Linked DNA regions of Ovis aries. The main gene of each other region encodes a partner of the protein of the gene in region 5 in a complex. Links are inferred from orthologs where the notes say so. Each region holds a gene or a part of one and is shown on either strand. Other genes may lie near its edges. The genes, in order: PPIL2, RBM48, BUD13, SNRPB, SNRNP40, LSM4 and LSM7.

Evidence for each region.
Region 1: SNRNP40 (region 5) and PPIL2 share a complex: the UniProt entries of both Homo sapiens proteins name them as parts of the minor spliceosome. The link is inferred for Ovis aries from reciprocal best matches to the Homo sapiens genes SNRNP40 and PPIL2.
Region 2: SNRNP40 (region 5) and RBM48 share a complex: the UniProt entries of both Homo sapiens proteins name them as parts of the minor spliceosome. The link is inferred for Ovis aries from reciprocal best matches to the Homo sapiens genes SNRNP40 and RBM48.
Region 3: SNRNP40 (region 5) and BUD13 share a complex: the UniProt entries of both Homo sapiens proteins name them as parts of the minor spliceosome. The link is inferred for Ovis aries from reciprocal best matches to the Homo sapiens genes SNRNP40 and BUD13.
Region 4: SNRNP40 (region 5) and SNRPB share a complex: the UniProt entries of both Homo sapiens proteins name them as parts of the U4/U6-U5 tri-snRNP complex. The link is inferred for Ovis aries from reciprocal best matches to the Homo sapiens genes SNRNP40 and SNRPB.
Region 6: SNRNP40 (region 5) and LSM4 share a complex: the UniProt entries of both Homo sapiens proteins name them as parts of the U4/U6-U5 tri-snRNP complex. The link is inferred for Ovis aries from reciprocal best matches to the Homo sapiens genes SNRNP40 and LSM4.
Region 7: SNRNP40 (region 5) and LSM7 share a complex: the UniProt entries of both Homo sapiens proteins name them as parts of the U4/U6-U5 tri-snRNP complex. The link is inferred for Ovis aries from reciprocal best matches to the Homo sapiens genes SNRNP40 and LSM7.

The regions. Positions count from the first base shown.
Region 1 is NC_056070.1:72,128,805-72,132,304, reverse strand, and holds part of PPIL2 (RING-type E3 ubiquitin-protein ligase PPIL2), read left to right. Parts: intron 1-119; coding exon 120-182; intron 183-980; coding exon 981-1,032; intron 1,033-1,840; coding exon 1,841-1,892; intron 1,893-3,500. UniProt on the Homo sapiens protein: Has a ubiquitin-protein ligase activity acting as an E3 ubiquitin protein ligase or as an ubiquitin-ubiquitin ligase promoting elongation of ubiquitin chains on substrates.
Region 2 is NC_056057.1:10,622,833-10,626,800, reverse strand, and holds the start of RBM48 (RNA-binding protein 48), read right to left. Parts: upstream 2,801-3,968; 5' UTR 2,789-2,800; coding exon 2,678-2,788; intron 2,152-2,677; coding exon 1,961-2,151; intron 1,955-1,960; exon of another isoform or gene 1,257-1,954; coding exon of another isoform or gene 1,183-1,256; intron 482-1,182; coding exon 336-481; intron 1-335. Other genes in the region: peroxisomal ATPase PEX1, read left to right, coding at 3,148-3,273. UniProt on the Homo sapiens protein: As a component of the minor spliceosome, involved in the splicing of U12-type introns in pre-mRNAs.
Region 3 is NC_056068.1:27,150,694-27,154,193, forward strand, and holds part of BUD13 (BUD13 homolog), read right to left. Parts: intron 1,853-3,500; coding exon 1,747-1,852; intron 1,387-1,746; coding exon 1,248-1,386; intron 945-1,247; coding exon 760-944; intron 520-759; coding exon 438-519; intron 1-437. UniProt on the Homo sapiens protein: Involved in pre-mRNA splicing as component of the activated spliceosome. As a component of the minor spliceosome, involved in the splicing of U12-type introns in pre-mRNAs.
Region 4 is NC_056066.1:52,396,632-52,399,692, forward strand, and holds part of SNRPB (small nuclear ribonucleoprotein-associated proteins B and B'), read left to right. Parts: intron 1-1,634; coding exon 1,635-1,746; intron 1,747-3,061. UniProt on the Homo sapiens protein: Plays a role in pre-mRNA splicing as a core component of the spliceosomal U1, U2, U4 and U5 small nuclear ribonucleoproteins (snRNPs), the building blocks of the spliceosome.
Region 5 is NC_056055.1:236,101,907-236,105,406, reverse strand, and holds part of SNRNP40 (U5 small nuclear ribonucleoprotein 40 kDa protein), read right to left. Parts: coding exon 3,451-3,500; intron 2,411-3,450; coding exon 2,288-2,410; intron 1-2,287. UniProt on the Homo sapiens protein: Required for pre-mRNA splicing as component of the activated spliceosome. Component of the U5 small nuclear ribonucleoprotein (snRNP) complex and the U4/U6-U5 tri-snRNP complex, building blocks of the spliceosome.
Region 6 is NC_056058.1:4,695,295-4,698,534, forward strand, and holds the end of LSM4 (U6 snRNA-associated Sm-like protein LSm4), read left to right. Parts: intron 1-105; coding exon 106-289; intron 290-2,104; coding exon 2,105-2,196; 3' UTR 2,197-2,740; downstream 2,741-3,240. UniProt on the Homo sapiens protein: Plays a role in pre-mRNA splicing as component of the U4/U6-U5 tri-snRNP complex that is involved in spliceosome assembly, and as component of the precatalytic spliceosome (spliceosome B complex).
Region 7 is NC_056058.1:19,032,477-19,036,615, reverse strand, and holds the start of LSM7 (U6 snRNA-associated Sm-like protein LSm7), read right to left. Parts: upstream 2,801-4,139; 5' UTR 2,782-2,800; coding exon 2,776-2,781; intron 2,629-2,775; coding exon 2,538-2,628; intron 6-2,537; coding exon 1-5. Other genes in the region: SPPL2B (signal peptide peptidase-like 2B), read left to right, coding at 2,801-3,007. UniProt on the Homo sapiens protein: Plays a role in pre-mRNA splicing as component of the U4/U6-U5 tri-snRNP complex that is involved in spliceosome assembly, and as component of the precatalytic spliceosome (spliceosome B complex).

The DNA.
Region 1 (3,500 bases), on a different chromosome or scaffold from region 5:
ATGCAGGAGCGGGGCCCGCTGCGCAGCGAGGAGCGGGCGGGGCCCCCGACCACGGCCGCCCGCCAGCGTCTCTGGGTCGGGAGAGGGCGGCGCTCAGGAGTGACTCTGCTGCCCCTCAGTCTCTCTCTGCAGCCCTTCACCTACCCGGTGTGCACTCCCGAAGGTGTCGTCTTTGACTTGCTGTGAGTTTCCCCTTGACGTCTAAGCTGGCAGATGTGGTGAGGTTGCTGGCACCCACCTGAGACAGGGCGGCGGGAGGGTGTGGGCTGCAGGCAGGGCCACGCTGCGGGCCTGCAGCCTCCAGAGCCCTGGGTGGGCCTCTTGGGGATGGGAGGGGCAGCACCGCTCTGACCTCTGCCTGGGGGCCCCCAGCGTTCTGATCCGCACCCCCTAGCTGTTGGAATATTGGAGAGTGTGTAGCTTTCACGTCACGAAGGCGGAGCCGTAGTCGAGGTGCCTGCCTCTCTGGTGCTGCCCTCGGAAGCCTCGTGCCCCGTCTGTGTTCCGAGGACGCAGGCTTCTGCCGTTCCTCGTGACAGCCTCATTTCAGAAAATGCGGAAAGCGCTTCAGATGAAGGGGAGACGGGCGCTGTCAGGCTGGGCCCCTTTTGCCTGGGAGGTGTTTGTGGGAACCTGGTAGAGATCACACCGCGAGGCTGGTTCCAGACCCACTCTCCAGTCACAGCGAGAGCGTTTCGCCCCCGTCGTCCAGAACTGTGCGGAGTGTGGTTCCGAGGCTGGCCCGGTACCCGCAGCAACGTGTGTGGAGGGCTTGCCATTAGTGGTGTTTGTCCACGCTTGTGCACAACGGCAGGAGAAACCCCAAGCGGCCACTGGTGCCTGCGCGGCCAGAAGCACTCCTTCCCGTGATGAGGCGGAGAGAGAGGGCGGAGCAGCCCCCAGCCCCTGGGCAGCCGCCCCCCAGCCCAGTCCCCGGCTCTGGCCCGTCGCCGTCTGACACGCTTGGTCTCTTCCTCCAGGAACATCGTTCCTTGGCTTAAGAAGTACGGGACCAACCCCAGCAACGGAGAGGTAGGTGGCCCTGCAGGAGCTTCGGTGAGGCCGGCGAACGCTCTAGTGTCACACGCGCCCGTGCCCCCTCCCTTCCCCACGCCTGTCCTCCGTGGAGCATGCCCCCCGCGTGCCCACATGTGGGGTCACACAGGGGCAGCCTCCTGCGGCGGCACCGCGGGCTTTGGCATCCCCTGCTGTTACCAACGCTGGCCAGGCGCACGTGCAGTGGCCCCCAGCCTGCCGGCCCCGGGGCTGCGTTTTCGGCCTGGTCACTCCTGGCACGTTGCCCTGGAGGAGTCGAAGCATTCTGGGCCCCTGCTGGTGGGTGTGAAGGGGATTCGGGTCCTAGACCCTCGGAGGCGCTGGGCGTCCCACCCCTCTGGGCGATGCTCCTTACGGGCTGTGTGGAAGCTAGCTTCCCACTGCTGGCGTGCTCGGTGTGCCGTGCTGGAGAGAACGCAGGATCGGCCCCTCCCGCCGCAGCCCTGCACACCTGCCACAGGCCTGGGCCCGGTTCCGCCGCGCAGGCTGCTCTCCGTTCCCTCGTGGCGTGCCTGCAGTTCACTCCCGGCGGGGTGTTAGCGCTGCGGTGCGGGGCCGGCTCTGTAGCGGAGCAGGACCAGGGACCAGGGTGCTACCTCAGAGGAGGACAGGGGCCTGGGGGTGTCAGGGAGCAGCGCCAGTGCTGTGAGACCCAGGGGTGGAGACCCTTGTTCTGGGCGGGAGTTAGGCCAGAGAGAGCTGCTGCCTGCCACACTGGCCTGGTGGCCTCAGCACCTCCGCACGCTAGCTGCTTCTGTATTTTCATTGATTCTGCTTCTTGCAGAAACTGGATGGGCGGTCCCTGGTCAAGTTGAACTTTGCGAAGAACAGTGAAGGTGAGCAGCCTTTCCGGCCTGCTCGGGTTACCCGAGCCCCACCTCTCTCCAGGTTCTTACCTTCCGAGCAGGCCAGACGCTTGCTTTCAGTTTATCAAAAATGTTATGCTGTCTTCCTAGAGGCACAGGTAGTTTAAAACTGGGAACAGATAAACTCAGACGCCCGACAGCGGCCGGAGGGAAGCTGGGGCTGGAGATGGGTGGCACACAAACTCGGCTCTCTCGACCCTGCAATCATCAATTAAGACACAAGGCCAAGAGGGCGCTCTCTAGATCAAGGGTGGTAAAAAATTTAAAAAGGCACAGTTGAGGGCATGAGCCTTCACTGTGGGGCACTTGGGCCGTGTGGGCTGAGCTGGGCCCCTGAGGGCACAGGCCCTGCCCAGCTGTGGTCCAGGTGTCACTGGAGACGGAGCTGCTCAGGCTGAGGCCCAGGTGGGCGGCTGGGCGTGGGGCTGGGGGCTCTTGGGCTCTTTCCGCTCGGCTCGGCATTGGTCGTGCGCCCCGGCCCAGTCCCGGGGCCCCGTGCTGCACCCCTGCGTGCCCTGCACTGCTCTTGCTAGCCGGACGCCTGTGTGGAGGCAGCCTCCGCGAGCACTGGCCTTGTTCTCAGTTCCCTATGGGCCTGGGCGTGTGCAGGTGCCCTGGGGGAGGGCTGGGTCAGGGTTTGCTGGTGGGTGCGTTCCGGGAATGCTTGGAGGCCGGCCAGCCCCCAGCAGGTGCGGACAGCAGTGAGGAGCCAGCCGGCCTTGGCGGCCCGGACAGTCTGGGTGCTGGGGAGCTCCTCGCTCCGAGAGTGGCTCCTTCACAAGCGTTCACTGCGTGCCTGCCTGCCACGTGCAGACAGTGAGGGCCAAGCCTCTCCTGAGATGAGAGGGCGGGCTTTGGAAATGAGGTCACTGCGGTGGGTCAGACTCGGCCTGTCCTGGGGTCAGAGGTGAAGTGGGCCAAGGGAGAGGGGCTGGGGGCCAGCTGATGGAGTTTGAGGGGGGCTCTGCAGACAGGTGGGGCGTGCCCTGTGGGGAGAGCGCTTCAGGCAGAGGCCCAGCCGTGACAGGCCCTGCGGCGCGGGGCCCATTCTTACTTGCCCGGTATGAGTGGAGCAGGGGCAGGGGCTGTGGTCTGGGGCAAGCTGAGGCGGGGAGCCCAGCAGTGTCTCGGGCTCAGATTCGAGCAAGGAAGATCTGACCCAACTTGGTTTCTTTTAATTACTTACTTGGCTGCGCCGTGTCTTGGTTGGAGCATGTGGCATCTAGCTCCCGGACCAGGGATTGAACTTGCATTGGGAGCATGGAGTCTTAGCCACTGGACCCCCAGGAAATCCCCCTCAACTGTGCCTTTTTACATTTTTTACCACCCTTGATCTAGAGAGCGCCCTCTTGTGTCTTAGCTGATAGTTCAGGGTCGAGAGAGTCGAGTTTGCGTGCGGCCTGTCTCCAGCCCTAGCTTCCCTCCAGCCGCCGTCGGGCATCTGAGTTTATCTGTGGTCCCCTCCGCTGTGTCGGTGCCTTCGTGCCGGTTCACGCTTAGGTATTTGAGTGTGTCTCTAAAAGCTAAGGACTTAAGAAACGAGACACTCGTCATACCTAGGAAGTTAGTATGAATTTG
Region 2 (3,968 bases), on a different chromosome or scaffold from region 5:
TTATCTCAGATTCACATGTCAGCTGCTGTGTTGTGGTTATATTACTCACAGTTCCTTAAAATGCATGACGCTCATTTATTCCTCTGGCCCATCTTTCCATCTGTTCCTCTCCCTTTCTGGGTAATGTCTACTTTCCCTTCAGAACTCAGCCACCATTCTCATCCTGCAGGAATCTTCCATGAAATAACATCTATCCCTTCCCAGGCAAGATTACATAACATTCTGTAAAGAAAAAACTTCGTAGCTTATAGTCACTAGACTGGGAAAACTCTAGGAGGGTAAACTCAGCAAAATGCCTGACACATTGGAGGTGTTTAGTAGTAGGCTTTACATACCTTTATTTTTAGTCATTCTTGCTACATAAGCATTCCTCTCTTGTAATTTCTTTCTGGTTTCTTCAACTGTTTCAAATTCTGGAGCATAGCACACATGAAGCAAGCCACCAAAGAAACTCTGCTCATCCATTTTTCTCTTGGCCATCCTAAGCAGAAATTCACGATACCATGGTTTACTTAGGGTGAAAGCTTAACCAGCATACAATGCATTGATCTAAAAAGCAAAGTCCAGACTTTGTTGTATACATAAATCCTATAGCTTCGGAGCTGCGATGCTCTGCACGTGAATGGTATTGACCCTACTGATCCACTGCATATTCTTTCAGAGCCTTTTTCCCCCTCTCCCAAGAGTCTTCATAGGTTTTAAGCTAAGTTTTCCAAACATATCCAGACTCCCTTTAACCAACATAAGATTCAGCTGGTTGGCCTGAGGTACACAATCTGTGGTCATGAAATAGAGATTCTGTGTTAAAAGGCCCTCAAAAATTAGCTCATGCCCAGCTTAGCCTTTTTAGCACAATGTGTTCCTATAATGGGGTTCAAAGATAAGAAATTAATAAAAATATTACAATTATAAACATTTAATAATGGAGAAAACACAAATATATAACAGTAAATGAGAAAAGGAGAGGATAGTATTCATTTAATGTATACTTACTAAACATCTATGACTGGCCAGGAATTACTACGAAATTAAGTACTTCTGTGTCCAAGGTAAATGGTAAGAAATATTCACTGAGATTTTACCATGTGCCAGGCAGTGGCCTAAATGCTTCACTTGAAATCACACTTCTCAACATCCCTATGATGACTCTGAGGCATGGGGAGATTATTTGTCCAAGCTCACCTTGGTTTGTGGAGCCAGGATTCAAATCCACATGTCACACTGTAAAAGGGGTGTGGGAGATGCAAAAGCTTCATGGAATGAATACACAATAAGGAAATATACTTCCCTAACCATGAGGAGCTGGCAAGTTGGTTAGGGCAGTGAGATTATACATAAGAGCAACTGGAGAACAATATATGACCCATATACCCCAGTACTGTTTGTAGCACAGAAAATGTGAATTGTAATAGCCAGGGAAGGGATGGGTCTTGAAGCAAATTAGTGACAAGAATATAAGATGAGGCATTTCATATTTCCCTTACTACAGCAGAGGATTTATGCTATTCAGAAGAAAAAAAAAAAAAGATGGGGTCAATTCATATAGGTGCATAACAAGAAACCTAACAGCTAATGTTGTTTACCGCATTCTGAGCAGGAGGCATCTGCTAAGCCCTCTACATGGATTATCTCATTTCATCCTTACACATTTTATAGGACAGGAAAACAGGTTTAATGGGATTAAATAACTTGTCCAAGGTCATCATGTTAGTAAGCAGTGGAACCTGAAAACTTAGTCCAAACCCAGTTTTTAATCTACCACACTACAAGACAGAAAATGGTTACACATGGGGATGACCTAATGGACAGACTTTTGATAAAGCTAACACTTACATTAAGAATACTGGAGAAAAATAAAAAGCCATGTTAGATTACTGAGTAATTCATGAAAGAATGAGGGAGGCCAAAATGATAGCAATGGGAACAGAGGAAATGAGACACTGCCTGACTTGTATATTACCTTGCGCTTTGTAAATTGAGAAATTTAATAAGATAAACTTCTGTAAAGTCTTCTGCTGGGTATTCATCTAGAGCATTATACTGTTCAATTGCACCATATAGAGCAAATCGCTCAACTAATTCCTTCATTGCTCCCACGGCAGGAACTCCTTGTATTAATAAGTACCAAGACTCCAAATTGATTGTATAGACCTAAAAGAAATGCACACGCATTAAATGTGTTTCACAAACAAGCCTAGGACAACCTGTTACTATTCAAAACAAACAAACAAACAAAAACCCTGAAAACAAGAACTACTCTGTTCAGGTCTGCAGAAAAGGTGTTTTTGTTTTTGTTTTTAATCTGCCCTTCTCTTTGTAGAAACAATAAGTCACCCTACATGTGAGGGCTTCGAGCTAAAGCACATAATAGACTACCTCCAATCGACATGTCTTCAGAAGCTGCCTCGGTAAATGTTACAGGAAAGAGTTAAATATTCACTACTGTAAACACGGAAGATACGACTAAAACACATACCCCGTTTTCACGGAGCTCCAACAGTTGACTAAAGAGGCCGCGAGAGTATCTGCTACCTGGGTACCGGCGTCCCTCACACTCATCTCCAGCAAATGGATGTGACCGCAGCCTTTCAAGACTTTATTTACATTAACTGGGCGTGTGAAGCTACAGCTTACATAAAGCTACCGACGACAACGAATGAAACCAAAATCACTTTACCTTCACAGCGCGAGGCCGTCGGCCCTCCCGATACTTGGCTCTCGAGTCACACACAGCCCTTTGGACGTGGTGATCGAATACGCCCCCAACTTGCCCTCCACTGGACGCCATCTTGCCGGCTTTGGCCCTCGCAGAGACGACAACATCCGCCTGTTGCCCTCCTGATTACCCAATCAGAGAGAGGGATGGGTCAAGGCGCGCCGAGATTGGCTGAAGGAGCCACAGGGTTGGCCATCGTTTCCTGTGAGCAAGTAGGCGGCGAGCGAGCTGCCGCCCTCCAGCGGCGCGGCGGAGAGGCCCGGCGAGCCGGACTGGGCTGGCCTGCCGCTCCAGCTCCCGAGGCGCGGCGGGCGCGAGGGGCGGGGCCTGGGGGCGGGGCCGATCGAGCGTAGCAGGCCCGGTCACCCTCGGTCCGCAGGCAGCCCGGGTCCGCTGGGGTGGGCCTCCGGCGGGGCCGTCGCTGGCGGAGGATGTGGGGCAGCGGTCGGCTGGCGGGTGCTGCTGGCGGGGCGGCCGTGACCGTGGCCTTCACCAGCACGCGCGACTGCTTCCTTCACTTGCCGCGGCGCCTAGTGGCCCAGCTGCACTTGCTCCAGGTAACGCGCCCGCCCCATGGACTCCCCAGCCCGGACTCGGGACTCCTCGGGGGCCGTCTGCGGCCGCCCGGGACCCAGGCCTTTTCGGGACGCAGCGGCCGCTCGGGCGTCTCCCGACGGCGGGACGCGGGCTGCTCTCCCCGCGCCGCCGACCTGTTCATCAGCCAGAACGTGGGCCGCTCTGGAGCAGGGCCGGTCCGGGCGGTCTTTGCAGCCCTACCACGTCGGGTGCAGCCCCGGGCCTTTGCGTTAACTTGCCGTACGTATTCCAGGTCTTCACTCGGTGAAACTGGGCTCTCAAACATCCTGATAATTTTCTCTCTGAGTTCAGCTATTCCTCACTCCAGGTTGGAAAAGCTTTGGAGAAGTCGGGTTTGTCTGCGGATTTTGTTTTGTTTCGATCGTAAAAAACGTTTTTCCTGCCAGTGGTTTCCAGGTGCGCCTGCCTGGCTGTGGCCCAGGAGTCCCTGTAAATTAATAGAGACTGAGCCGCGAGCGAGATAGGTTAATAAGATGAAGGTTCTCGCTGCGTCTCCGCTGCTCGGAATACCTCCTAGGTGTGCCCGGAACGTGCAGTGGGATTATGCATACTTGGACCTCTGCAGTTAGTTGCCCTCTGGACATTGTGATTGTGGTAGTTCATAGTTCTAACCACATCCCTAGTTTCGTAATTATAAAATAGGGGCACCTGGTCT
Region 3 (3,500 bases), on a different chromosome or scaffold from region 5:
GTGAAGAGATAAGGTGGTAGGGATCAGTACGACATTACAAGTGACTCACTCCTAAGGCAGTGAAGAAAAGGTTCAAGAGCTACATTTTAAAGATACAATATACAGAAGGCTACAGACTAGCACCCATCACTCAATCCCCTCTAAACCTTAAGAGAATATCACCAGAAGTGACCAACATCAAAAAAAAGGTATCTATCTGGACCATTTCGGCTATTTACCCAGAGCTTTAAAAAGCTTTGAAAAGGGAAAGAGGAGAAAGAGGAGTGATATGAGCATGGGAAACGGGATTTGAGAAACAGAAGCAAGCACACTGCACATTACTAACCTTGTGGTTAGAGCAGAGAACGAGGCAGAGTGTACAACGACTTGAGAACAGCCAGGGAAGGTCAGGGTTACAAGGAAGAGAAAATAAAACTGTAGGGAATACTCAGGCTTACCTGTCCACTCCATCCCAGCGATACCCTGGCCAGATATTGAATCTATTGGGAGGGGGCGCAGGGCCACTGTAGCGAGGTCTCACTAAAGACAGGAGAGAGAGAAAAGTTAGTTACCTACGTAATTTAATTCATAGCTGAACGGTAGTGAGGAAAAAATATTTTATACGGAAATCTCTGACTGAGTTCAACTTAAATTCCCAAATAGAAGGAATTTGAAATTATACAGGACCACCTTCTTTGCACATATTTAGTATCGTCATTCTAATGATTCTCTCTCTTCACATACATCACCTCTATCTCTGATGATTCCCAGAAGGCTCACCTTTCTTATTCTTATTCTCCTTGGCCGCCTTCTTCTTGATGAAGTTGGCCATGGGGTCCCCCTCTCTTTCCTGTTCTCTCAGCATCCGATCCAAATCTTCATCATCAATATAGCGGGCCAGAGGCTTCTGCATTTCCTTCACTGCATCCTCCACATTCTGTTGCTGCTGCCGGGTCTGGGCAAGCCTGGACAAAAAGAACCAGGAGTGTCTGCTATCCTGTGTAACATCTCTACTCTTACACTGAGATGGACCATACTTCCTCCTCTTCCTAACAGTCTATGGCAAATACTGAAAAAGGTAAACTTCCCAGAATACCAACCAGAAGTGTGAAACATGTCAGTACTGTAGGAAGCAGACTGAGCACACTGAAGCTCCCATTGCTAAAAACAGCTTTAGAGGCAGAACAATGAACTAACTGGTCAGGAGAGGACAGAAATTATTTCCTCCAGTAACTGCAGTCTTGTGTGCCTTTCAGTGGCTCTCTTACCCTTTGCCCCACTGAGCATACAGCTCTTCTCTCTTCGAGTCCTTCTCTGCTTTTCGCCTCTGCTCTAAACGTTCCAGTTTCAAATTCCTCTTACGACCAGACTTATCTCGAAATACAGTTTCAGCATGTTGGAATTCAGCTGCAAAGGAAAAGTACACTTTTAAAGATAAACGAAAAGGTGTCAAAATCAGAAATAACATTCTAACAGCTGAAGTCAACCAATTAGTGTTCTGATGCAGGATAAGAATTTTCACAGCCAGACCACAAGTAGTCCTTACCAACATCTAAATGCATATTGGTGATGATTCTGAAAATTAACATTTTTTAAGAAGGAAAAGATCCACTTGCACCCAATGAGAAGTTAAAACAAAGCAGAAAACCAGAATTGAAATTTGATAGCAATTAAAATTTTTAAATATCAGGTAAATTAGCTATATATATTTTTTAAAAGTAAAAGCTACATAAGCCTCAACTGGTCTCTGCACTTTCACATTTTTACCTTCAAACGCCATGGTCTCTTGGTCCCGTTTCTTGAGCTCCTGCTGCTCTCGCTGTATGTCAGTTAACACCAACCCAGTTTTAGCCCCAGAATACATGTGCGCAGCCTATGCAATGGAAAAGGGAGCATCCAGCATTAATGAGACAATGTGGCAACAGGCTCCGTGGTGTACAGTTACGTCTGAGGATCAGCAATTACCAAACCAAAAACGCTACCTTCTATTCTCAGTATCAACCATAGGATTGGCAAAATAGAAGAAATAAAACTGAATTTCATGGAAAATTAACAGTACTGTTAAGTTTAAGTGCAAACAGAAACACAAACCAACAATTTACTAAAGGGAAGGCTGAAAAAAGTGAAACTTTTAGTCGTTCAGTCATGTCCAACTCTTTGTGACCCCATGGACTGTAGCCTGCCTGGTTCCTCTGTCCATGGAATTCTCCAGGCTAGAATACTGGAGTGGGTAGCCATTCCCTTCTCCAGGGAATCTTCCCACTCAGGGATCAAACCCGGATCTCCTACACTGCAGGCAGATTCTTTACCATCTGAGCCAAAGGGCAGGCTAAGCATCTGTATTTCTGACTTTTCAGCATATAAACTGCATACATGAAGACTCTCAGGTCACCTGATCAGAAACCTCTATCAAGCTCTGAGCCCTTCAGTAGAGATCAGCACTGAAAATATTCCATTTAAATCACAAAGTCAAGCAAACCTATCAATTTCAAACGTGAATTTGTGGCTATATGTCAGGATAATGACAAGATATGACCAAATCCAAACTTTTTACTAAAACCCACCCTGTATCAAAATAACAAACCACCCCACGATCAATGTATATAAATTATATCCTAATATCCTTAAGCAATGTGCTAGGTACTTCCCTGGAAGTCCAGTGGTTTTCAATCCTTGGCTGGGGAACTGAACAAAGATCTAGCATACCATGCAACATGGCCAAAAAAAGGCAATGTGCTAAATCTGATTAATATTAAATTGTCCGTGGACTAAGCAGATACATAAAAAAGACACTGGGTCCAGCTGAAACACTGACCTCAGTCCGTTCCCTACATCCTGGGTTAGGGACTGACTGGTCCCTACCAGGACCACATGGACTATAGAGGAGTCTGTGTTGTCCCGAAAAGTCTGTGTTGAGGTAACATGGACATCACAGCCTCTTTCTTAACCAACTCACTGGAATAACAGTTCTTTTTCTTTCCTTTTTTTGTTTTTGTAATAACATTTCTGTACTAGTAGTGGTGTTCTTTACAACACAATTTCTTGGGGTTCATGTGGATTTTGTTAAGTCAGCCTTCACTGCAGATTTAAAATAATACAAAACCCTTACTTCCCAGGCGATATGATTTTTAAAGTCGTTTTATATTTTAAATGCCTCTCTTTAAGCTCTGGATACAGAGACCTACAGTCCAATTTATAATAGTAAATGGCTTACACTAAATGGTTACTTTGTCCCAGGCCCTGGGCTAAGAGTTCTACTTACACTACCACATTTAATTCTCAAAAGAACCTGAAGTATGTACTACCATCATCTACATTTTAAAGATGAGGAAACTGAGATTTAGAGATATTATGTATCTTGCTCAAATCTCACATAAGAAGTAGAATTCCATGTGTGATCTGTTTAACACAAAGTTCGTGATCCTAGGTTCACTCTGTAAACTACGTTCTCAGTTTGTTCATAAAAAATAGGAAGTTTTGTTTAAGTTATTAAAATGAGATTTGTGGAACTGAGAGAATAT
Region 4 (3,061 bases), on a different chromosome or scaffold from region 5:
TTAGGTGGTGACTAGCTGGCTGGTTCCTCTCAGTTTGCTCTCCTGTTTTACAGGGCAGATTAAAATGGAGAGTTTCTTAAATCTCTTTCCTTAGTCTTGCTCTTTACTTCTAGCAGAGTACAAGTTGTAAGTAGGGCTGCCAGGCTTTTTATTTCTCTGATTTTGTGTGCCCGGGGGTACTGGGGTAAAGGGCTCTCATGTTCTCCCCACAGGTGTGTAAGGGGGGAGAGCTTGATTTTCTGGCCTCATTGCCTATTTGTAAAGCTGTAGCCTAAAGGGCTCTCACAGTGCAGCCTGGTCTGAAACTGCTTTAAGAAGCCTCTGACCCTCTTCAGGGTAAGTGCTCAACTCCCCTTGTGGGTTTGGGGCCAGTGATTTTTGTTGTCATTTACAGAAACAATTGGAGAATACAGTCCCATAATTTGTTAGATAATTCCCTTGTCTTAGGACTCACCGATCTTAAGCTTCTAGCCTGGTAAAAGATGTGGTCTAGTGTTTTATACAGTAAAGGCATCTTGAGGCCCAAAGAAGTTACGTAATTTCCTTGACCATCCAGCTCTCTTTTGCCACTGGAGTGTCCATAGTGTGTTACCAGTGGCTGTCAGTTCCTTTTAATTCTCTTTGGGACTTTTGTTTTCTTTGTGGCATGAGGTCAAGAAGTATAAGACAGAAAATGGTAGTGATGGCTGAGTGCCCGGTGTACATTAGAGAGTGGCCAACATTTTTAAATGAGACTAACTTTATTCTGGTAATGAAAATGTGCCCATTAGAAAATATTTTGTAAAAGTACATAGAAGTATATGAGAAAAAACTTAAGAGACCCAGAAAGGATTTTTTTTTTAAATTGTGAAAGGGCAGTACATGCTTTTTTTAAAAAAAATAAGAACTATAGATAAGTTTTAAAAAAGAGGAAAAAATGACCACCTATAGAAAATTTATATAAAATATCATTAAAATGAAAACTTTAAGTAATTTTTAAAAATCAAGATATTTTGTATTTCCTTTAACTTTAGGATATTGGCTTTGACTTTCCTTTCCCTGTCTTGTTGCAATTACTTTTTCCCAGTCTATCTCGTTTATATTTTGCTCATCCTTTTCTACTTGTGGATATTTGGAGATTTGTTTTTGTTCTTTGAGGATAGAAGTGTAATTTCTATGTAGCTAATCTCTTAACCTTTTCCTTTATGGCTTCTATTTCTAATATGAGGTGAGAGACAGAGTTATAGTTCTGTGGGGCTGAATTAATACTAGAAGGATACTGCATGTAAGTAGAGTGAATGGGATTCAGTTGACTTGAGGAATTGTTCCGACTGCCTTCCTGACATTGTTAAGGCCTTAAACTGAAGGAAGAAAAAGGGTAATGGCAACAAAGAGTTGACTGAGGGAAGGCTTTCACAGTGGCTTTGTGAGTGAGCCAGGGCTGGGCTTTCTTGAATCTTGTCCTGTCTCTTGGTCTGTGCATTCTCTTGGCATGGGAGACAACCATCAAATGGGGGGAGGTTACAAGTTTAGCCTGTCAGTAGATTTAGTGTAAAAAAAGTCTCGGAGGGCCCCTAGGTAGGTGAACATGAACTTTACCCTTTTTCTAATGCTGTTTTGCTTTGTTTTGTTTCTTCTCCTAAACCTGTCTTTAGACCAAAGAACTCAAAGCAAGCAGAGAGAGAAGAGAAGCGAGTCCTCGGTCTTGTACTACTTCGAGGGGAGAACCTGGTCTCAATGACAGTAGAGGGACCACCTCCAAAAGATGTAAGTCAGAACTGAGAGCCAGTGCAAGGCCAGGAACCTTGTGCAAGGGAGGTGCCACCCTGACCTGGGCCCTGTGTGGGGTTCTCTGTTTCATTGCAGTTCTCATAGGTATCTTCTGGTTTCTGTTTCCCTTATACAGATAATAAACCAGAATCTTAAAGAGGTTCCTTTGCAAGTCAGAAGTAAGGAACTAGGATTTGAGGGTTTGTAACTTTAAAGCCCTCTTTTCCTTAGTTGATGTACCTAGTCAATAGAAGAGGCACCTAAGGCCTCCTGGATCAGTTCTTAATGTGATGACAGTCTAGTTGGACCATAAAAAATTGTAACTCCAAACAATAGAATGCATGTATATTTTTTGTATAGTTATAGAATAATAGTTAATATTTAATTAAGCATCTGCTATTTGCCACGCCCTTCAGTATTTAATTCATGTAACAGTCTTTTGAGATAGATTATTCCCGCTTTATAGATAATGCCAATTGAAATTTAGTAACCTGCACAAGGTGGCACAGCTGGAAAGTGGTGAAACTGTCATTTGATTCCAAGCAGTATTGGTTCATTAACATCAGCCTCCCTTTAGAAATAGGAGAGGCTTTAGAGAATCTAACCAAATTTGTTTCCCCTTTTTCGTTTTAAGATAATGTTTGTTAAAGGAATAATCTTGTTACCTTGTGTTAATTTTTGTCCACATATATATATGTTGGGTTTTTTTAAACTTGTAATAGGTGTGTATCATTCTGCTTTTTAACTTAACATTGTAAACATTTTTCCAGTTGCTGTATTCAAAAGTCATGTTAATGACTTAAAGATACTTTCAAGTGAGTGCAGAGTAGTTTATCCTAGTTATTTCCTTTTGTTTAGACTCTTATATGCAAAGGATGTTACCATGTTTCTGATTCAAGGCCTAGGTACCTATTCATAGCTTTGGTATCTATTTCCAGTAGAATTTGCTACTCTAATGTAGCCGATTGTAAGCCTTCAGGACCACAACCAGTTTTGTTAAAACCTCTTCATTGGTAGATGAAGAAGCAGTACTAGAATGGTGGGATTACTTGCCCACTATCCCCACTATTACCCACCAAGTGAGAATCAGAGCTGGGACTGGACCTCATATCTCTTTGTCGGGTCAAAACACTAATCTAACATAGATACCCTTTGGGGTGGAGGCTTGGCTGTTTATTTGATTTTCATAGGAATGCATATTGGTTGAGTTGTACCTGTTTCTCTTGACTTAAAACCCTTAAGTTCTTTTAGCCTGCTGGGCATATAATCTTGGATGGAGGAAGAGTGGTGTTAACAGGAATGGATAGTGTTT
Region 5 (3,500 bases):
TGAAGAGAACAGCGTCAATAAAACAATGGAGGCAGAGCCAGACTGATGAGCAGTGGTCAGGAGACATGGAATTGATAAATGAAAGGGAGATAAGGCATTAAAGACAGTGAGTGTAGAAAATATTCAGGGGATTTCTCACACGCTTACTCCTTGGAAGAAAAGTTATGATCAACCTAGATAGCATATTCAAGAGCAGAGACATTACTTTGCCGACTAAGGTCCGTCTAGTCAAGGCTATGGTTTTTCCTGTGGTCATGTATGGATGTGAGAGTTGGACTGTGAAGAAAGCTGAGCGCCGAAGAATTGATGCTTTTGAACTGTGGTGTTGAAGAAGACTCTTGAGAGTCCCTTGGACTGCAAGGAGATCCAACCAGTCCATTCTGAAGGAGATCAACCCTGGGATTTCTTTGGAAGAAATGATGCTAAAGCTGAAACTCCAGTACTTTAGCCACCTCATGAGAAGAGTTGACTCATTGGAAAAAACTCTGATGCTGGGAGGGATTGGGGGCAGGAGGAGAAGGGGACGACCGAGAATGAGATGGCTGGATGGCATCACGGACTCGATGGACATGAGTCTGAGTGAACTCCGGGAGATGGTGATGAACAGGGAGGCCTGGTGTGCTGCGATTCATGGGGTCACAAAGAGCTGGACACGACTGAGCGACTAAACTGAACTGAAATGAATGAGAGCAAGACTCTGGGCCCAAACTCTGGGTTTTGAATCATTGGTAAAATGGCATTGTGCGTGTGCTCAGTTGCTCAATCCTATCCAACTACTTGCGACCCTGGGAAGCCCATTAACAGCACTTATTTCATAGGTCCATTGTGAGGCTTTAAAGAATTATAATGTAAAGCTCTAAGAACAACAGGTGGCACAGTGGTAAGCAATTCAACTGCTGATGTAGGAGATGCAAGAGATGCGTGTTTGATCTCTACATCAGGAAGATCCCCTGGAGTAGGAAATGGCAACCCACTCTAGCATTCTTGCCTGGAAAATTCCAAGGATGAGGAGCCTGGCAGGGTTCGAAAAAGAGTTGGACACGACTTAGGGACAAACACGCACAGCATGTATTGAGAACAATGCCTGACACATTTAAGTGTTAGAGGATGATGATAACAGTGTTATGATCATAACCACTATCACCATCTTTAAAGAGGCTTGGCTGTAAAGGGGAAGACTGACAGGGCAATAACAAGACAATGTGGAACTGAAGGCAGACTCTTTCCCCTACCAAGAGAAGACCTGAGCATGGTGAAATGCTAATAAGAAGCAATACAGTTGGTTAAAAGGATAGGATTTGGGAAAACTGACAGCATGAGGTCCCAGAGACAGGAAAGAAAGGTTGAAATCTTTCCATGTAAGGGACTCCCGGTAGATAAAAGGACATTCCATTCATAGTAAGAGCAAAGGAGGCAAGGAGAGATGGGACTACAGTACAATTTCTAGGTAGAAACAACATAAGAAGTTGAGTATTTACCCAATAATTACTACTCTCATGATAAAGCATAAGGTAAGTCAAAGTCTTTGAAATACCTAAGCAAGCCAATAAGTAAAAGCAGAGACAAACTGAGTCGCCCCCCCGTCCCCCGACAAATTTCATACTTACTGGCACCTGCCATGTCCAGAAACTCTGCTAGGTGCTCTACTGCATTCGGCTCATTAATGCCCAAGACAACTCTACGCGATAGATATTGTTAACCCCTACTACATACATAAAACAGAAAGCAAAAGAAGTTAAAGAACTAGTGTGAAGCCACAAAAAATTAGAGAATAGAACTGAGATTAGACTCCAAGGCAATTACTTGAAAGCTTGAGCTGTATTATACTATTGAGATGTCTATTGCTTCTTTTCGTCAACATCACTACCTTCTCACATTCTTAGCTATGGATCCCCCAAAACTTCTTTTGTATAGTTTAAAAAACAAAGACACACTGAGAGATTACGGTACAGAATCACAAACTGATTTACTGCTATCTCAGTGAAGGCAATGGAGGTTAAAAAAAGTTTCGAATGCTGTTACTCAGCGAATACACTCTTCATTTTTCAGAGTTCCCACACAGGGACTTCTCACTTCATATAAACTGCCTGGTCCCTGATGGACAGGGACCATATAAGTTGTAATGCAACCCTGACACAGAAGTCAATAAAGACAAGACAGAAAGAAAACACGTTCTAATTTATCTTTCACGTAGGTGGTATAAAGTGCAAAGTTAAGAAGTTGGAAAGACCTACTTCTGTAAATGGAGACAGGTGAAAAGTAAATAGAACATAAACATCTAAAATACCTTGATATCATTGTCTATTCCACCAGAAATAATCTGATCACTTGTATCATTGAAAGTCACAGCTAAAACTTGGTAGGTGTTCTGAAATGTCTGGATGGCCGCTTTCTTGCGGATATCCCAAAGCTGAAAAAGAGGACAAGAAAGTCTATAATGACAACACTCTAAGAAACAACTGCACAGCACACCCATAAATCTAAGGACTGCGGAAGTGGAAACATCTGTAAAGGGACCCTGTTCAGAAATTTGTCTGATTATCCCATCAACATGGTGAGAACTGACTATAATTTTGCCAATGTATCTGAATGCTGGTAGAATAAATCACTTTGGTTGTATTTTCAGATTTCTTTGTTAAAAGTTTGAATACATGTGGTTAATTAAATGCCCTTAGAGTGGACATCTTCACCATGTTTACTAGTTCATTTGTTCTGCACAAAGGATATTAGACCAGTGTTTTGAAATTATAGATCTTAATTCATTATTCAGCTACAACTTACATTTAAAAATATATATATACACACATATGGAGAGGAGGTTACATCAATGAAAATGGCAGAGTACTGAGTGCCCAAAGACTGTCCCTCTAGAAAAGCAGAAGACTGGCAAAACTGTCAGAAATCAATTGCACCAGAACTCTAGAAACTAAAGTTTACAGCAACTAGGTAAATACTGAGGATAAAAACCAGCTGCGTCCTAGTAAGAGGGCTTTCTAGTGCTTTAACTTACCCTGGCTCCATCCTCACTCAGCAACAGCTTTGAAAACAACATGTACTGACCTTTTTGTACACTGACTGAAATTTCAAAACATCCTTGTAAGACATGTATATTACTGTCACTAAAGACTGAGAAACTGAAGATGACAAAAGTGAACCTAAAGTCACATAATTCAGTAAACACTAAGTAAAGAATCTAATTATTCTTGGATGGTGGTCTACTTTATTCCAAGTGACAACTGTTCTACATGGTTGTAACAGTCTGTAGATTCATAAAAAAAGAAAAAAACCTCAACTGCTTATTATCTGAAGTGTATTTTAAAGAGTGTCTGTTTTGGGAAATGTTTGATGAAACAAAGTTGTGGAGAGAAGGGTATAGCATAGGTGGGAAGACAAGGTAAGTGTAACATTTTGTCACCTCAGAAACCCTCAACAGAGACAGACAACACCCACCTTAACTGTACCGTCATCACTGCCAGTGCAAACAAGCTGGGGGCCCCTCC
Region 6 (3,240 bases), on a different chromosome or scaffold from region 5:
TACCCTGCGGGGGCGACGCCAGGCACAGGGAGCCTGAGTGGATGGATGCTGCCCGGCTGCCTACACGTTCCTCCCCACGGCTCTGACACGTACCCCCTGTTGCAGGACGGGGACAAATTCTGGCGGATGCCCGAGTGCTACATCCGCGGCAGCACCATCAAGTACCTGCGCATCCCTGACGAGATCATCGACATGGTCAAGGAGGAGGTGGTGGCCAAGGGCCGTGGCCGCGGTGGCCTGCAGCAGCAGAAGCAGCAGAAGGGCCGCGGGATGGGGGGCGCCGGGCGAGGTAGGCCCTTCTCTCCGCCCTCTCCCCTGGCAGGCAGCCGGGGCCTCCCCGCTGGAGCGTGACTGCCGCGCGCGGCATCTGGCCTGGCCCAGTGCTGGCATTCTCCGCTGGTGGCGTCATGTTGCCGAGGGCCTGGCTCTGCGCCCCTCCTCCATGGCACTGGGGGGCTGTGACTCACGGGGCTCTTCTGTGGAACAGTTGGTGCTGCTGGTTGCCACCTGCATGCCCCGTGTCCCCCACCCCAGGAGCCCAGCTAAGCCCTAGTGGTCAGTGCTGGCCGCGCCCATCCTCACAACATGGGCCCTCCTCCCCGCAGTGGCTCTTGGTGCTCCCTCAGCTCCAGATGCCGCCCAGCAGACTAACCCAGCACCCACACAGACCTGGGACTTGAGCCCCACCTGTGTTTCCTGGCAGGTGCTCTGGGCACCTCGGGGAGGCTCAGATTCCCCCCTGCGGAGAAGATCCCCGTGGTGCCCAGCCTGGGACCCTTCCCTGCTGTGACTCCTTTAGACAAAACCAAGGTCACGCCTTTTGGGTAGATCACCCCGCACCACCCTGAAATCATAAATCTTGCATAAAACTAAACGTGCAGTCAGCTAGAGCCGCAGCCCAGAGGCCAGCTGTGGGCCCCACCCTCCCCCACCCGACTTCTGTCTCACCCACCTGGAGGGGCTTGTATGCCAGGTTCCAGGAACCCACCCTGGAGGCTTATATGCAGAGCCAGGAAAGACATAGGAGCCCCCCTGAGCTGAGGCTTGAGTGACAGAAAGGAGCCAGAGAGAAGAGGGCACCGCAGGTGGAGAAGAACCTAGGATGGGGGTGAGCAGGGCCCCAGAGGTCCCAGGACCTGCCCCCAGGGCTAGGCTGCCCACCCAGGGTGCCATCGCTGTCGAGTAAACTGCCTGAAGGAGCAGGGAGGACAGGGAGAGGCGCTTGCATAGGGGCCCCTGCATGACCAGGCTCCCCTTGCCCAAGCTGGGTCTTGCTCCATTAGAGATGAGGCTGGGCAGACCCTGTCAGCCCTGGCCCTGTCCCCTGTATGCGTGTGGAGGAAGGGGGCCCTGGAAGGCCAGGCTGCTGCTTCTGTGACTTCCTGGGCAGGGGCTGCACCCACCCTTGGGCTATTCACCTTCCCCAGCAGCAGTGCTGTGTGCTCCACGTAAAATGCCTTTCGGAAACAGCCCCACCTCTGGCTGCAGAGGTCAGAGCTCAGGAGGCTCCCCCGCCCCTTCTCTGGGCTGGACACACAGAGACCCCACCCCACCCCATTGTTTCAGCAAGGCAGGGTGGGGTCCCCCGGTGCAGCCCCAGTCACAGAGCTGAGCATCGTTGCTCCACCCCTGGGCTGAGTCCAGGCCTCATCCTAGCTTGTACTCCCAGCTCCTCCTGGAAACCCTTCTGATTTTGTCCTGCTGATGACTACCCACCCCCTCACCTTGGCCCTCAGCCCTCTCTTCCAGGAAGCATATCCCCCCCCCCGCCGCCGCCCCCGCAAGCCCCAGTGTGACTTGATGCCAACCTCTGTCCTTCTTGGCATCCTTCGCACCCCTGGGGCGCCTGGTCTGATATCCCTTGTCACACTGAGAATGTTGTGGAGCAATACCCCTGCCCAGCCCTGGTCAGACACTCCATCTCAGATTTTCAACCTGCTCTTCCCACCGACGGTACAGTCACTGCCCCCACTTTACAGAGGTGAAAGCTGAGGCTCAGAGGGGTTCAACGACTTGGCTATAGTCTAAGGGTTCCAGTTCCTGGTCCTTGCCCACAGTGACCCTCCCAGCCTGGCTCTACTGAACCCCCCCTCCTGTCTCACAGGTGTGTTCGGTGGCCGGGGCCGAGGTGGGATCCCTGGGACTGGCAGAGGTCAACCAGAAAAGAAGCCAGGCAGACAGGCGGGCAAACAGTGAGCCGCCCCTCCATTCCCGAGACTGAGCTGCCGCGCCGAGCACCTGCTCCCACCCTGAGGCTGCATTCCTGGTCTCCAGTTTATGACTGTTCAGAACAAAAAGAAGAGGCAGGGGTCGGGGAGGACCCCCTGCCTGTCCTCTGGTGGTCCTCCTCTTTTTTTGTTAGCCAGCAGTTCTATGGTTGGAAATGTTAATTCTGTGCTTCTGGTTTTGTGAAGCCGCAGCCAACTGGATTCCTGGAAGATTCTGTGTTTAATGCATCGTTAAAGCCCTCACTCTTGTTTTAAGGGCAGGCATTTTCCAAACAGGTTTGTTTTGCATTCTGTGTGGTAAACAGACGGGAGGTTTTTATTTTCAGCTGTTTGCACTGAGATTGATAGCCTGGAGGGTCTCCTGAAACACGGACCCTGAAACTGCCTTTTCGAAATGGATCCAGGCAAACGTATGCCTCAGAAGCTGTTCTGGGGGATGATGCTGGGCCCTATTCCGTCCCTTCTTCTCTCCCTCTTTGTCTTAGAAAAATAAAAACAAATACAACTACAAACTGCGAAATCCATAATTCCTTTGAACCACTGGGTGAATCTAGTTGTAGTGTCCTCAGGAAATCACAGCCCCCACGCAAGAAGTTTCCTTTTGCCCCCTGTGGCCTCTCACCAAGGGGAAGCATTTCAATGGGACACTGGTTCCCATGACCCTCAGCAGCCTCTTACAAAAGGTGGAAGGCAAAATGGGGGTCTGGGCAGTAGGGGAGCCCCTTCCCCTCTGTGGGGCGGTGGGGGAGGGAAGTTGTGGGTGGGAGCCAGTGGGACACCCACACTGCCTGTCCTCAGCCTCCATCTCTGTTGTGCAAGCACTGTTCACAGCAGAGCTCCCTGAGAAGCCGTGACATGGAGCTGCCTCCAGGAACACATGAGGAAGGCTTTTCACGAACTGTTTACCTCCTCTTAGGGTCGGGGCACTTGCCTGTCCGCGACTCAGCGATTTGCCTGAGACGCTGAGCCAGCACTTGTGCGGAACACTTCCGGCGATGTGGTCCTTTGACCG
Region 7 (4,139 bases), on a different chromosome or scaffold from region 5:
ACTGGCTTATCGGAATCACCAAGCAGAGAAGAGAGATGGACAAGCATAAGATCAATGGTCATTCTGGGTAAAGTGCGAGCTGCACGAGGGTGTCAGCACATGAAATTGGGGTGCCCTCACTGGTGAGGGACCACCCCCCAGCCAGACGCAGGCGTGGCAGCAGCCTCTTCAGGGACAGGACAGATGCAGGACCAAAGGGGGAGCAAGGGAAGGGCTCCCAGGAGACGAGCAGTGACAGCTGACCCCACACCATTGCCACTGCAACAGTCGGCAAATCCGCCTGCGCCTGTTTTGTAAACAGTTTAACTAGAGCCCGGCCCCGCTCATTTGGTAAATGTCGCTGTGGCAGCTCAGCTGCTGAATGGTGGAGTTGAGGAGCTGCGACAGAGACCGTCTGGCCAGCACAGCTGAAAATGTTCCCTGTCTGGTCTTCTGCAGAACAAGTCTGCCAGGCCTGCCTGAGTGCGAGGCCCTGGCTCTGCTTCCTCTGCTGTTGACAGCCCTCCTCAACCCTGTGACGGTGCTCACCAAGTGGGGTGATGGAGAGTGACAAATCCCAGAATCCATCTGGGCACTTGGCCCCGGGTTGGGTAGTGAGCCCACACCTGTGGATCCTCCCTTCTTACTGGGGGAGGTGCCGCAGCAGGTGGGTGGGATTTTCAGATGAATCCAGCATTCCCCCACCCCTCCCTCTGATGTGAGATGGGACCCTCGATCAGACGTCAGTCTGTGGTCAGGCTGTAACAGAGGGCTTCGTGGATGTGATCAAGGTCCATGAATCAGTCCACTCTTAGTGGATCTAAAGGGAGGCTATGCTGGGTGGGCCTGACCTACAGGTGAGCCATTAAAAGGATGGGCCCTTTCTGAAAAGAGAAGTTGAAAAAATTAGATTTTTCTGCTAGCCTTGAAGGAGTCAACTGCCATGCTGTGGACAGTGTCTGTGGCAGAGGCAGTGGGCAGCCTCTAGGAGCCCAGAGGGTCCCTGGCCAACACTTGCCAGAAAACGAGGACCCCGGGCCTGAGATACAGGCTCCCAGAGATGCTCCCTTACTGCAACCTCGTCAGAGACCTGAGCCTGAGGCACCTGGAGTCTGGAACCACAGGTGCTGTGAGATAAAAATGGGTTGTTGAAGCACAGAAAATGAACAGAAGGGACTTCCCTGGTGGTCCAAGTGGTTAAGAATTCATTCTGCAGTACAGCAAATGTGGGTTCCATCCTTGGTCTTACATTCCATGGAGCAACTAAGCCCATATGGCATAATTAGAGAGACCTGGCCTGACATCTGAGACCTTATGCAGCTAAATTAATTAAAAAAAGACAAACACAAGCGCCTTGAGAAGCAGGAGCCCCATCTCCTTGTACATCCCAGAACCGGCATGGTGCCAGTGTTTGTTCAGATTCAGAGCCTCACTGGGCTGGGTACCTAGACGGGCAGGCACTGTGTTTTTAGCCACTCTGATGCTACCCAGGCGTCCACATCTCAGAGGAGGAGTCGTCTGAATCACCATCTTACCAACAAAGAAACTGAAGATCAGAGATAGCTGAATAAGTGAAGCACTGGGTGCTGACTAAGTGTCAGGAACTTGGCTAATGACATTACCCTTTAATTTCACCACCACTGCTGAGGTAAGTGGAGTTAACAGCCTCTGACAGATGAGACAGACTCAGAGATTATAGCGACTTGCCCAAAGTCCCACAGCCAGTGAGCTGGGGCTCTGCCCTGGACGGCACTCTCCACGTAACCTTGCATCATCTTTCCTGCCAGTCTCCTCACGAGATCGCAGAGGGAGATGCAGTTAAAGCCTCACAGTAACTGAAAAAAACCTGCCAAGCCCTGACAGCTGTTACCAGGAGCTTATACCAAAGGACCCTGACTTGGGATGCAGAGTCAAGCAGAGCTTCCCAAAGCAGCTGAGAGCTGCCTGCCTCACTCAAAAGCAAAAGGCTCATTCTTTACCCTGGAACAGTGGTGAACAAGGAGATGAGGTTTGCTTTCAAAAGGTGCCTCAGGTGGCTTCGTGTAAATTGAGTATAGGGCCTGGGTTCTCAACTGGGGCAATTCTGCCCCTGCCAGGGAACACCAGGCCAGGTCTGGGATGCCTGTGGTCATCAGAACTAGAAGGCTCCTGGAATCGAGTGGATGGGACCAGAGATGCTGCTCCACACCCTACAGCGCCCAGGACGGCCCCCTACAGAGAACAATACGGTCTTAATGTCAGCAGTGCTGAAACTGAGAAACCCTGGTGCTGAGGGGGCCCATGGGGGGCTGGGGCAGCCGCCAGGGTGAGACAAGACCCAAAGGAAGCAGAGACCTGAATCCTAGCCCCTGTGGCTGCGGGCGAGGTTTGGGCCCCTTTGCGTGCCTCAGTTTTCCCACCTGCAAAAGGGGTGTAACCGTTCCTATACGCCGGCGCCGGCAGCAGGCCGGACGAGTTGTCCGAGCCAAGCGCCTAAAGCGCGGCCCAGGCATCCGTTACCGGTACCGCCTCCCGTTACTCCTCGTGGACTGTGGAGGGGGAGGGCAGCGGGGCCTCACCTTCTCTGCCTCCCTGGAACTTCACTCGGATGGTCTTGTCGATGTACTTGGATAGATCCAAGATGCTCTCTTTCTTTTTCTTCTCTTTGTCCTGCAGGGGATGCAGAACGCTGTGAAGCGGGGAGCACGGCTGGACTCTCCCCAGTCAACCCCACCAGCCCCGCGAACCCCGCCAGCCCGGCGAACCCCGCCAGCCCGGCGAAACCCGCCAACCCCACCAGCAGCGCCGCACGCTCACCGCCATCTTGTCGCGCCGCGTCGCTATGCGCAGGCGCCGCCACTGCGCCCTTTGTACCTACCCCTGCGCGCATGCGCGAAAGACGCAGGGCGCCTGCGCGGCGCTCTGCGCCGGGGCGTTGCTGGGAAACATCTGCCGACGCCTGTGGCGGGGACCGGGCGACATGGCGGCGGCGGCAGCGGCGGCGGCGCTGGCGCGGCTCGCAGCGGCCTTCCTTCTCCTCGCGGCCCAGGTGAGGGCGGCGCCGACCCCGTTGGCCTCGCCGGCCACGGTGCCCCGGCTTCTCACCCCTCCCTGGCCCCGCGCAGAACCCCGCCCTGACCGGCCTGGGGCCAGCTTAGGGGATCCGCGCCCCCGGTGCCGGCAACCCGTGGGCCTGGGGCCCGACCGTGACCTTGCGGGTCTGTCCCCCGGCCGGTCTCCCTTCTCTGTCTGGACGCCGTTCCCAGCCGTGGTGTCACTGGGTTCCGCCCGGACCTAAAGTTTTAGGTCCCACTACCCCGCTTCCGCCCCGGCCCCTGCTGGTCTGTCTCGGGGTCTCCAACCGCCTCTGGGACTCCCCTCTCTGACTCCGTGGCCTTAGTCGGGGGCTACCCCTCTCTGACCCTGGCATCCCCTTGAAAGCGATACTACCCCCATTCCCCGTGGTTGTAGTCAACTGCCCAGCGTGGCACCCAGTGACTGGCGGCGTCGAGAAGCGTCCAGGAGCCCAGCCCTGGAATGGGGTCGAATCGCCGCCCCATCTTTTTCTGCCGTGACCTTGGCAGGGGAGTTCCCGCTTTGAGTTGGTCGTCTGCAAAAGGAGGATAAGTGTACAGTGCGCAGTCAGCGAGATGATGTAGGGGATCCCGGACGTGGGGCATGCTACTTGTTTGTCACTTAACCTCAAGGGTCGCCACTGGGGGACAGACCTGGAGATGGCTGATGTACGTTACCTTGAGTGCATTTTTTATTTTCCAAACCCTCCCTCTCTCCCAAATTCCATAACTCCGGAAATGGTGCCCCCCCCACCAACAGCCCTACAAACTGGGCCATTAACGTTGCCCTTTCTGTGCCAGCCCCCCAACCTCTGCTTCAGGCTGCTGGCTTCTCTCCAAGGCCGCTTTTGTCCCCCAAACTCCCAGTTCATTTTCAGCCCTGCAGGAGGGATCTCTTTCAAAGTGTGTCAGATCTTGTGTCCAAATGAGAGCTTTCTGGTGCCACTGACACATTCAGGAGGACTCTGTGATCCGGCTGACAGGAAACCATCCTTTGTTTCCAACTCTAGCATATTAAAGGCACTTTGCTCACTGGGCTCTGTTTCCCTGAAACCTAACTCCCTCCAACGTTGTGTTTCTGGTCTCAGCTTAGGGGTGCCACATTCC